Drosophila melanogaster: one gene and its partners. The gene in region 1 interacts genetically with each later gene. Each region holds a gene or a part of one and is shown in the gene's direction. Other genes may lie near its edges. The genes, in order: pnt, erm and fred.

Region 1 (3,754 bases):
ACCACTCACCCTTCTGTGCGATTCTCGCTGACGAATTTACCCGTATTTTGCAGCACTTTGCCTTTGCTGGAGTCGGACATTTCCGTGCTGTTTAGCAGAAATAAAATAAATAAATGTAAATAACTTGTTGCCGCCAAAAATCTGCAAACGTCTCAGAAATGTGCTAACGCGTTGCAGAGAATGCTGACATTTAGCTGTTGCACAGCACTGTAAAGTAACACGTTTGGCGCCAATTTCAAAATGTTACTACAAATAAAAGAAAACAAGAAAATTATTAAATGGTTTTAAGAATATAAGTTTTACCTAGAAATCCTCAATTATTCTTAGCTTTGTAGTTCCACCTAACACAAATTAAAAAAATAATGCTTAAAATCTGATGAAATCATAAAATATAATATTTATGTTTATTTCATCACAGCTTGACCATTTTAGCTATAATTTTCCTGTAATGGGCATTAAATGCCCTATTTGCTGACAATTTAAGGACAGCTGCTGGCCAATTGAGTTGGCCTGTTGGCCATGTGTTTTCCAACTGCTGAAATGTGAAGTTTTTTCTACTAGTTCTCCGCTGCAATGGCATCATGCAGTCACGCACACAGGCGCATTCATTCATAAAAATCCGGCTCACCTACACGAGTTGTAAGATTCCAGCGCAGTGGAGAGAGGGAGAGAGAGTGGGAGAGCGGCGCGCATGCGCTCTTTGAGTTCTTTTTTTTCGCTTGCTGCACTTGTCGCCCCCTTTTATGTTTTTCAGTTTTACCTCTGCGGCAGCAATTAAGTTGCAGCAGAGGTTGACAATCAGCCATATTTTTATTGCACGTGTTTCGTTATGCAAGGCTGGTTAAGTTTTTTTTTTTTATGTGTACATATACGCTCCCTTGGCCGGGAAAATCGGGAACGCCATCAAGTTTTGTTATCCCGAATCTTATTGCCCTTTTTCTGGGTGCAGCTGGCCATTTGACTGCCGCCCCTGCACTTGCATTCACTTATGCTGTGTAATTTGTAATTTATGCGAAATGCGTTGCCGGAATATAAAAACATTGCAGTCGTTTCAGTTCCATATCGCCGCTCTCTGTCGCACACACTCTCCGCACACATAAACCTGTTTGTGTTTTTGATTTGCGCGAAAGAGAGAGAGAGAGAGAGCCTTTCGAACGCACAGTGGTTGTCATGGTCACGGTGGGAAAATATCGCGCTTAACTTTTTTTGGGGTGTCCAAAAGTATTTTCCCAAGCTGCAGCTTTCCCACATTGTGTGCAAACTTTAATAATGATAATAATAAGTTGATAATTTAATCTCACATCAAAATTTTCATATAGGTATTATTTCATATTAAATAAATATTTTATTAATTATTATAACAAAGAAACTAGTATAATTTTCCTTTTAAATAAGCTGGAACTGATATTTTGACCAATTTACTTTATTTGTCAAAAATATAGATTTGTATAAAATCCAGAATCAAAATAAATAAATTTTTATATCAGTGTACACAATTGAAAGACTGAGACTGCCAAATTTTAAAATATTTGTCTTTATTATTCCGCCCCCTTTGCATACTAAATATTTTAAATATACTAGTGATTTTGGGCACTGTTTAAATGCTTGCCAAAAACGATCGCCCGCACACACACACACACACACATACACGCACCCACACACTCTCTCGCATATTCGCACTTACACTGAGTTCTGAGCAAGCAGATTTTTTTTATAAATTGTTGCTATTTTTTTGTCGCTGCAAACACTTTGTTTTTGCTGCTCGAAATATGTAATTCTGATTTCCATTTTTTTCTTGCGCTCATGATGCACGCTCTAGTGCGAGTGCGAAAGAGATAGCGAGATTGAGGATCACCCACGCCTTTTCGTTTTCATTCCAGCGATCAAGTAAAATAGCGAATAATGTTTATAAGTCAGATTGATATAACTCTCGATTTTCATATTATTTGCCATTTTTGTTATCACTTGCCAGAGCAACACAAAAAAATATTAATCTTAGCAGCGGAGAGAAAGAGAGAGAGAAACGGAGAGAGAAGGTGCGTCGGCGTTGGCGTCAACGCTGCGTCTGCGCCAACGTCGGCGTCGCTGCCGCCTGTTGCCAGTCGGTCAGTCTGTTTTTGTCTTTCTTTCGGGAAGCGTGCACTTGCGCTACGGTAAATTCGATTTGAATGAATTATACGAATCAAATAACAAATAAATAACAAATGCAAAACACTTTGCAAGCCAAGCAAAAACCCAGTGTGTAAGTGAATGAGTGCAATAGCAAAACATCTAAAGATCTGCGCGCGCAATATACATCAAAAAAAGGAAGGCAAACAGCAACAGAAAAAAAAACGCGGTTCAGAAACACAGGAAACCAATTTCTATATACGAAATTCATCATAAAACCACAAAAATCTCCTCAAACATCGCGTGAGAGTGCCTGAGTGTGAGTGTGCGCGCGCGTGTGTGTGTTTGCCAGCGATCCGTCGGCCTTTTTTCGGTTTGTTTCTTTTCGCGTCTTATAAGCCGAGCTAAACCGATCCCCGATTTCTTCTCGAGTTGTTCCTTTCGGTTTTTCGTTTGTCTTTGTGCCCGGCACGTAATCCCTCTCTCTCTCCCCCTAATCAACCTGCTGATCCCACCGGAGGGTTAAAACATACACATCTATACAGCGTGATAGAGAGAGAGAACGAGCAAGAGATAGTCATCGGTGCTGCGGAGTCCATCAAGATTGTGCGCCTAATTTGAAGCTGTAATTAATTTGGATACCCTAATAAAAAGCCAACCGAAAGACGGTCTTTAGAATCCAGAACCCACAAACCAAAAATCAAGAGCCCAGTAGCCCCCGCCTTCTTGTTCACGAAGGGGCGCTATTTTATTACCCCGCACCGGTAAGAAAAGTGAAGTGTTGAAAAACAGTAGTTCAAGTATTAGTTTTTGTTATTTTCCCTACACTCGAAACAAAAATCCAGCGAAAATTAAAAGACAAAACAATTGAAAACAAATAATAAACCATATATCTCTTAATTGCTGTTGATATATAGTTTTGAAATATAACTTTTAAATCATATTTATCTTAAAAATATGAAATTTAGAGAGTTTCTTTTGAGTGCATGTAAACCCTTTTTGTGTTGGTGTTGCCTGTTTTCTTGAATGAATCTAGGAGAAAACTGGTTTGGCTACCGCTCGGTAGATCCGCCGATCTCGCGATCTCGCCTCGATTCAGGATTGCTGCCTCTATAAACTCGTTGTTGGCCAGGCCAACAGAATTTGAATTGGTTTTCTACTCGGCATCATAGCCAAGCTAGTTAGCCGCCAGTGTGCGTGAGTGTGTGTGTGTGGGGCACTTCCACAACCCTTGTGGGAAACACGCTCGAAATTACTACTGTTCCTTTTACAGCTTCCGGTGCGGCAAATGAGCTTCGCCTGCCCCACGATCGCGTTTCGGGCCATCAATCCAAGGGGTTTGGTAATCGAGAATGTGTGAACGGTTTTTGGTTAGGGTCAAGAATCTAGCACAGCGATCGCATTAGACAATTAAGTATCAATAAAACTGATACCGGAGTGCTACTCTTTTGACCTTTCGGTTTTAAAGTATGTATAATTGGGGCTTTCCTGTTCTGCACTTTGGGTTACCTGAAAGGGTTTTTAAAAGGATCTTACAATTTGGGATGTAAATTAAAGTAATTATTAATACAAAAAAGATCAAAGGATAGTTAAAGGCTTAACCGATATCATATTTTATAAAAATGTTACCATTAAAATGATTAAT
Region 2 (3,754 bases), on another chromosome or scaffold:
AGCTTCCAGTTAATCACGCTGTTTTGCCCGCTTTTTGTCAAGGATAATCACCGGATTGTTTTTGCTTCGTCGAACGTATGCTTACTAAAATATTGGAATTATTCACACAATATTGAAGCTTGTTAAATTAGGCAGTAGAAGACACCTATAATAGTATTACGAATTTCCATGAATTTTCATGTTAAAGTAGATTTACCCGTCGGCATCTCAAAGGAATCAAACAAATAGTTTACAAATATTGTACAATAGTTTTTATGGTTGCCACATTCAACCCATCCAATCAACATTACTCCAATGAGGAAACCTAATCAACAAAGAGCTGATATTTGCATATCGATTTCCCCACACAAGAGCCGCACAACAAGCCAGATTAACGGAAAATGCAGTCGAAATGGCGGCCATAGTCCTTGAAGGATCCACTAAAACCCCCACGCTCCCCGTCGGACTCGCCGAAGAGTTGTGCTTTTGTGTGGCCTTGCAGCTGCAATTGCTGAACTGCTCAACTCCAGCAAAAGCAGCCATGTGCCCTGCATTGCCCAAGAAAAGGTCCTGGACCGTGGTCCTGCAAACGGATGGAGTTGGTGGAGCAGGACGACAAGCACTGCCAGAGCAAACAAAGTCAAGAAAGCCGCGCTGGAGATGCCATCAAAATGAATATGGGATTATATTTAACTAGTGCTGGCTGGCGATGCAGGGGGCTTCAAATCAAACAAATGAGAAAGGTGCACCTAGAGAACAGGGAAGCTAAAGAATAATATAAAGTTATCTAACCAATTTTATACAATTTACAATCTTTAAAAATTGGCGATTGATGCTTATCCTGCGACTAACATTCCTACATAGAATAGGGATTACTGATTGGATTACGGGTGAATTATTTTCTCTGTATATAGCAAAAAAAGATGAAGAATTGGAGAGAATCAAAGAATCCTTGCCCGCTGGCGGGCTAAAGGTGAGCAAACAAAGACGCTGATAAAACGAAATGCCAAAACGACAATTGAAACGCCCAACAAAAGGCATGAGCTTTCCAGGAGGGGGATGCGCTGGGAACGGGGAACGGGGAAAGGGGTGGGCCAGTGAAAAAGTCAACTCGAGAGGCATCCACGAGGCCGGTGGCTGCCATTTCTTGGTGTCTGGTGTCGCCCCATCCAAATCAAGTGTGAACGGAATACGGCCAAAGGTGGCCCATCCATCCATCCATCCATCCATCTCTCCGTCCGTCCATCGGTCTCTTTCCAGCAGCCGAGTGCTACGCATAGTGCGCTCCCTCTTTTGCGGAACCTCCTCCATCTCGTCACTCCTCTATGTATCATCTTCCTGGGCTCTTGAGCTCTATCTCTATATAAATATTTTAGGGGCGGTCTCTGCTCACTGCCTCTCTCTTTCGCCGTAATATTCCAATTCGACATTTTGTCTTTTCATTCATAATGCAGTCGCAGTCGACGGCGACGTCGGCGTCAGGACATATCCTCCAATCTGAACGTGATGATTAAGTTCTCCTTTTGCCCGTCGCTCCCATCAATCCATCTCGCTCTGTCGCTCGACCAGGACGTCTGCATCCATCTCTCTCTCTCCCTCGGCATGCATTTCATCTCTCACTCTCGCCAACGGCGGCAGCACGCAGGACTCTCGGGGGTTGTTTCGCCAGGATTCACCCCAGCACTCGCCGTGTGTCCTTTTCATATTTCTTAAGGCCCGCACCGTTCGCTGTTTGCCTTCATTCCGCTTCGGTCGCTGATCCTGTGCTGAACGCGTCCTGTTCCTCGCGTCCCTCGATTTGCATTTAAAAAGCGTATATCCTTATCGACGAAACAAGTGAACTTTAAATAGTAAAGTAAAAGGACCAAGTTCAATTTGTGTGTGCCAACTGTTGTGTTTTGCCTCTAACAAGTGGAGATCGGCCGCCTGCCAAGGGAACTGGATATCCACATAGGCAGTGCCTGAATATGGTTTACTTTGTACGTATTCGATACATAAAAACTTAATTTATTACTCTGTAATTGCAAAACTCCGACGGGAAAAGGAAAAAACTATAAAGTACAAGTTCGCTTTTTCATATTAGAAGCATTTCGAAGCTATTTGCGTGACGTTCGTAAGAAAAGCAGGCATTTACATAGGTCTATGTCCTCTTTAGATAGTATTTCGTCTTGTATCTTTACCATCATTCTTAACACTTATGATTTTGATTAACCCCATCAAAAGCCAGCTTCATCTCATAACTTCTAACATGTGCTAGGGCATAGCCACTTGTTCAACTCAAGACAAAGTTTCCAAGTGCCTGTGTGCTCCGTTGATTGAATATTATTCCACGCACTTGGTTAATAAGCTCGATGTGGTTCGCACTCCCCAAGTGGCGTTCGTAGAGGCAAATTTTGAAGTGGCCACTAGAACACCAACATAATTCGGCTGCTTAAAAGTGGAACTACTCGTTCGTAGTAGTAGTAGTTTGGCACCCGGGAAACTTTGGGATCGAGGGCTGACCGCCGCTGCCTCCGGGTCAGCGTGTGAAATGGTTGCCGCCTCTCGTTTAATGAGATTAAAGCGCACTTTGGAAGGGAAACTGCAAGATGGGCGAACTGCGGACCCAGATGGGAGCTGGGCCTGCTGAGGCGTCAAATCAAGTTAATTAAAAGCGGCAAGGAAGTCGGTAATCGCACCGGATGTCGCACATTAGCCACACTCGAGGGCACATGGGGAAGATGGAGCCGGCGAGGCGGCGAGGCGGCCTTACACCTCCAGTCGAGTGTAAGCGATTTAATGAATCTCACATAAAGCCAAGACCCGCGCCAAAAAATTCGCATACTGCTTACTGGGCCTGTGTTATGATTGATGGCAATATGCTGGCGAAAGGATTGAGGTCTTTGTTTGGGTTAAGTGGAGTGTAAGCCAGGGCAAAGCACGGGTTAAATGCAAATAGCGTGGTATGCAAAATCGATCGGGTAATATTATGGAACGCACTGCGGTTTGCGTTTAATTGCAACCCGCTGGCTGGCCCTGAATTATCCTGCGGAAATGTCCTGCCGCTGGGAGCACGCCCTCCGCTGGCGTTTGTTTGTGCTCCCGAATTGCCAACGCATTAGTTGCACTTGACTGATCAGGCGGTAAATAGTCCGTACAGCTGCGGTCAAAACAATAGGGACCACTTGAAATCCGAGCAACTTGGGAATAGGTGTTGTTATTATATTCATAATTATAAACCGAAATATATGCTTTACATATATGCTTTTGAAGGCAAGAAGTTTTTAGAAAGGTATGGGAACCAGAAATGTTATTTATCCTAGTTATTTCCCCCCAACTGTGGCCACAAACAATGGAGGCGTATGCCTTCGATTAATTGATAACCCGTTGCTTAGTTTGCATACTCAATTTGGCTCTTTGTTCGTTTCTTACAGAGTCCGCGTGGCATGCAACCGTGTAGTCCAGCGGGAGAAATCGCAATGATGCCGCCTTCGAAGAGCCCCGTGATGGAGAGCGCCGCCTCCGAACAGAATCCTGCCCAGCAGAGCCAGCAGCAGGACGAGCAGAGCGCCAAGCGGGCGTGTCCCCTAAAGTTTTCGATAGCCAAGATCATGGAGCCGGATCACAGGCCCAGCCAAGTGCCACCGCCGCAGCCCGCTCCGGTTTCCTTCGCCACCAACGATGACGACGAGGATGAGGATCCGGAGATCGATGCCGACTCGGAGCGCTCCTGCAGCCCCATCGAGGTGATCAGCCTGGATCAGTCGCCATCCACTGTCAACTATGACTCCGCTTT
Region 3 (3,754 bases), on another chromosome or scaffold:
TCGACCCTTCAATGCGACTGCCGCCCAATGCTTTTATGACAACTCAATTTCGGCACACACTTTAGTTTGGCATCCTCAACCATGACTGCCCCGAATTCCTCCACCCCCTGATTTTCCAGCCCCTCCTCTAAAGTTTTCAAGCCCTCCGCCCCAAAACGAAATTGTACCATCTAACCTGATCTACAAGCAAAGTTGAGGAGTTTTCGTGGGCAACACACAAAACGCATAAATTTATGTCAAACATTTGTGAGGCGTCTCCACTTCCGACCTCTCACTTACTCCCACTACATCTTTCTCTTTCGCTGAAAGAGAAAATTTATTTATTCGGACTTTTTAACAACTTTTGTACATATCTGTGTGTATTTGAGTGCCAAGGTGTTGGCTCAACCTTTGTGGCGGTCTCTTTTTTTTTTTTTTACTTTTTTTCTCCCCAAACTTGCCACATTTAGTTTGCAAATATTTTTTATGTGCCACGACATGTTCAAAACAGGGAGTAAGGGCTGCAAAACAACTGCCTAAGGGCCCAAAATGTTTATCCTGCGAAGCGTGGGCCATAAACTACTCAGAAACATAGCTGTTGTAAAATGGGGGACACTTTTGTTGATTGCTCAAAATATTCAAAAGGACCCTTCAAATATGTAAGTTTTCGTAAAATAAAAAGATTTCAGGAACATATAATTCATGTGAAAATATTAAAAAACGAAATGCAGAGCATTCCGTACTTTCTGTCTGCACTAGTCAGGACCAACTGTTGATTGCCTTGATTAATAAAAACGAATGCACTTGCAAGTGCAACAAATCAACATGTTGCCAAAAGAGAAAGTTTCGGCAAGAGAATGTGAGAGAAAACCGCACGGAAAAGAGAGATGGGAACGAGTGAAATAGGAAACAGTTTCTCTCCGGAAAAGTTAGCCAGGATTGGGGCAAAAAACTTGTCTAAAACCGAGTCCCAACGATTATGGTCCAAACAAAATTTCGTGGACTATGCTTCGTGTGTGTTTATGGCCATAAACAACTGACCCCAAAACATAAATAAACCAAAGAGCAGGAAAAGGACCACAAAAGCAAATAAAACTAATAAATGTAGCAGTTTGATAAAATTAAACAACTTGTATGTATTTATTTGTAGAAATAAATTCATCTGTAAACCATTAATGATGATTTGAATCGAATAATGAAAATATCTACAAATTAACATGTTCTTAAATCTTGTAAACTTTGAGCTATCAAACAAGAAGATATTAATATGAATGAAAAGTATGTGATGTTTAAAGTGAAATAAATATGGAATAGTTGGCATTGTATAAAGACAACTAGGCATGATTAACTATTTCATAAAACTTAGAGTTATGTTTAACAAAATTTCCGTTGATCTATGGATGAATTACAGGCCTAGGACAATTTGCGGTTCGTTGTTTTGAGTCCTTTCACTAGAGTTCCTAACCTACCACAAAAGTCCTTAGCCGCTCTCTTTTTTTTTCAAAAGAGAACTTTCTCTCCCTTGGCAACATGTTGCCAAGCCTTTCTCTCAGCGCAGCCGCCTCGAATAATATTCAACAACCGAAATTGGCGACTTCGTCTATGGATTTCGTACACTCGTACGCGACATCCGAAGTTCACTGTACTCGTGTTTTGCAGCTCGTCATATCGAACTTCGTTCTTAAGCTGGAACAAAACCGAAATTGCACTTAGTTGGTAAGAAGCATTCTGCGGCCACGGGCGGCAAAGCGGAAAAGTCGGGAAGAACTGGAAAGGCCGAGTGGAAAAGTCTCCTAAAAACAGGACCCCAAGTATATGTAGAAACCGAAGAAACGCGAGTGCGGAAAAGCGTTGCAGTGGAAATTGCGGACAGGCGGAAACCGCGTTTCGCTTACATGTGCGTTTGTAATTATGCAAATTGCCGGGCAACTCTTTCGACAAATGGCACTCAAGTGCAACTGTTGCCCCGCTTTTCCCCGTGACCTTGCACCCACCTCCTGCCCCCACCGCCCGCTGCTCGGCCCACAGCCATGCATATTTATGCCGCCAAAAAGCCAGAAACTGGGCCAAAACTAGTGCAACAGAAATAGAAAACGGGAAAAAAGAAATGAAATGAAATAAAATAAAATACGAGCAAAGCGCCAAAAGGGGCCAGCAAACAGTGACAAACAATTTCTGCTCAATTTAAAGCCGCTGCGAAAGTTGTGCTCCACTTACCTTCGCTCATCTGTCAAATCCGTATAATTTCCTCTTATTTTTTTTGTGCGTCCTTTCCGTTTGTGTGTGTCAGCAACTTGTTGTCCTTGGTCCTTGCTCTTTGGTCCTAGAAAACAAGTCCGAGCCAGACTCACTCCCAGGCTGGGCAAATAAAATGCAAATAAATTATTTTTATTATTCCACTGTGACAGCTGATTTGGGAGCTTTCTTTAGGATTTCTCTTGCTTTTTTGCCCATTGTTATGACGGCTGGTTATTTTGATGGCGTTGAAAATGGTTTAGCTTAAAGTTACTGGCAGTGCATAAGCGAATTAGGAGCCATGTTTAGTTCGCTGAGTTGTGAGTTGCCGAGAGTTTCTTAAATAAAATGTCGATTTGAATGCACTGGAGTCAAATAGTAAAAGATATATATTTTCATTAGTATTCGATTCTGAGGCACAGTGCATTTAAATACAGCAAAGACAATCGAGATAACTGTTACCTAAAGCGTTTTGTGATAATACAAGTATTTATTGCTTAAAACACATAAATTTCCTGAAGAAAAACTAAATAAACGAGGAAAGCTTGCCAAAATATGCAAGTGACCTGATAAGAAGTTTTAAAATATTCAAAAATTTAGATTTTGTGAAAACACCTAAGTGATTAAATTGTAAGTTAGTGACTAAAAAACCTGCTATAAACTCAAGCAGTGTAAATGCATAAAATTAAAGGTGTTTTATTTTAAGTACGGATTATCTTTCCAAAGCTCTGGCTCAAAATAAAAATAAGCAGTCACCATTAATAACTCATAATTACTTAGTGATTAGTGTCGAGTAACGCAGGAGATTTCCATTAACAATTGGGCAGTAAAACGCTACGGTTTTGTGTCCCCTCGGCTCCGGTTTAAATAAATAGCCCGGCAATTGCCGAGGCTTGGTCAAAAGGAGGCCCATCAACCATTCCGGCGGAATCAACTCACCTGGGGCTGGGATGTGGATGCGGATATGGAGGGTGTGGGATTTTCGTTAGGATGAAACCTAATAAGTTTGGAGCACGCAAGCGATGGGCCATTTTCAAGCTATTTGACTGACATGCTGTCCGCTCATAAGTCGCTTTTTGCTGGGTATTGTAAACATGAATAAGACATTAGCAGCACAGTTTACATGTGCGGCGGGGGCAAAGCCAACTGAGTGGGCACAATTCCATTTGGGGTATCCATCTCTAGTCGGTGCTCTTGCAAATTATTATTATTTGGGAAATATGTTCATTTAATGCCTGGGCATGGCTTCAATTGGACCTTTCGGCCTCGGCCCGGTTTTGCAAGCCCAAATTGAAATGTCTGAGCCTTTAAATATTCATTGCCTACTTCTAGGCGCCTTCCATATGCATTTAACATGAGCACGAGTGTGTGTGTGTCGCATTTAATTTAATTGAAACATTTAATTACAGTGTCCAGCCGTAGTATCGGCATCTCGAGTGCGTGAATATTTGAACGAGCATTTCAGCATCGCATTGCAAAATCAATTCTCGAGTGAGCCTTTAAAAACACGCAAATTGAAACCGAAATAGAGAGAAAAAAA

What was found.
Region 2: of pnt (region 1) and erm, changing one suppresses a phenotype caused by changing the other (phenotypic suppression), as found in Drosophila melanogaster (one study listed by BioGRID).
Region 3: of pnt (region 1) and fred, changing one suppresses a phenotype caused by changing the other (phenotypic suppression), as found in Drosophila melanogaster (2 studies listed by BioGRID).

The regions. Positions count from the first base shown.
Region 1 is NT_033777.3:23,344,517-23,348,270, reverse strand, and holds the start of pnt (pointed), read left to right. Parts: upstream 1-2,103; 5' UTR 2,104-2,873; intron 2,874-3,754. Other genes in the region: PolE1 (DNA polymerase epsilon subunit 1), read right to left, coding at 10-80.
Region 2 is NT_033779.5:1,952,518-1,956,271, reverse strand, and holds the start of erm (earmuff), read left to right. Parts: upstream 1-1,718; 5' UTR 1,719-1,946; coding exon 1,947-1,958; intron 1,959-3,392; coding exon 3,393-3,754.
Region 3 is NT_033779.5:3,989,670-3,993,423, reverse strand, and holds the start of fred (friend of echinoid), read left to right. Parts: upstream 1-1,710; 5' UTR 1,711-1,876; intron 1,877-3,623; 5' UTR 3,624-3,754.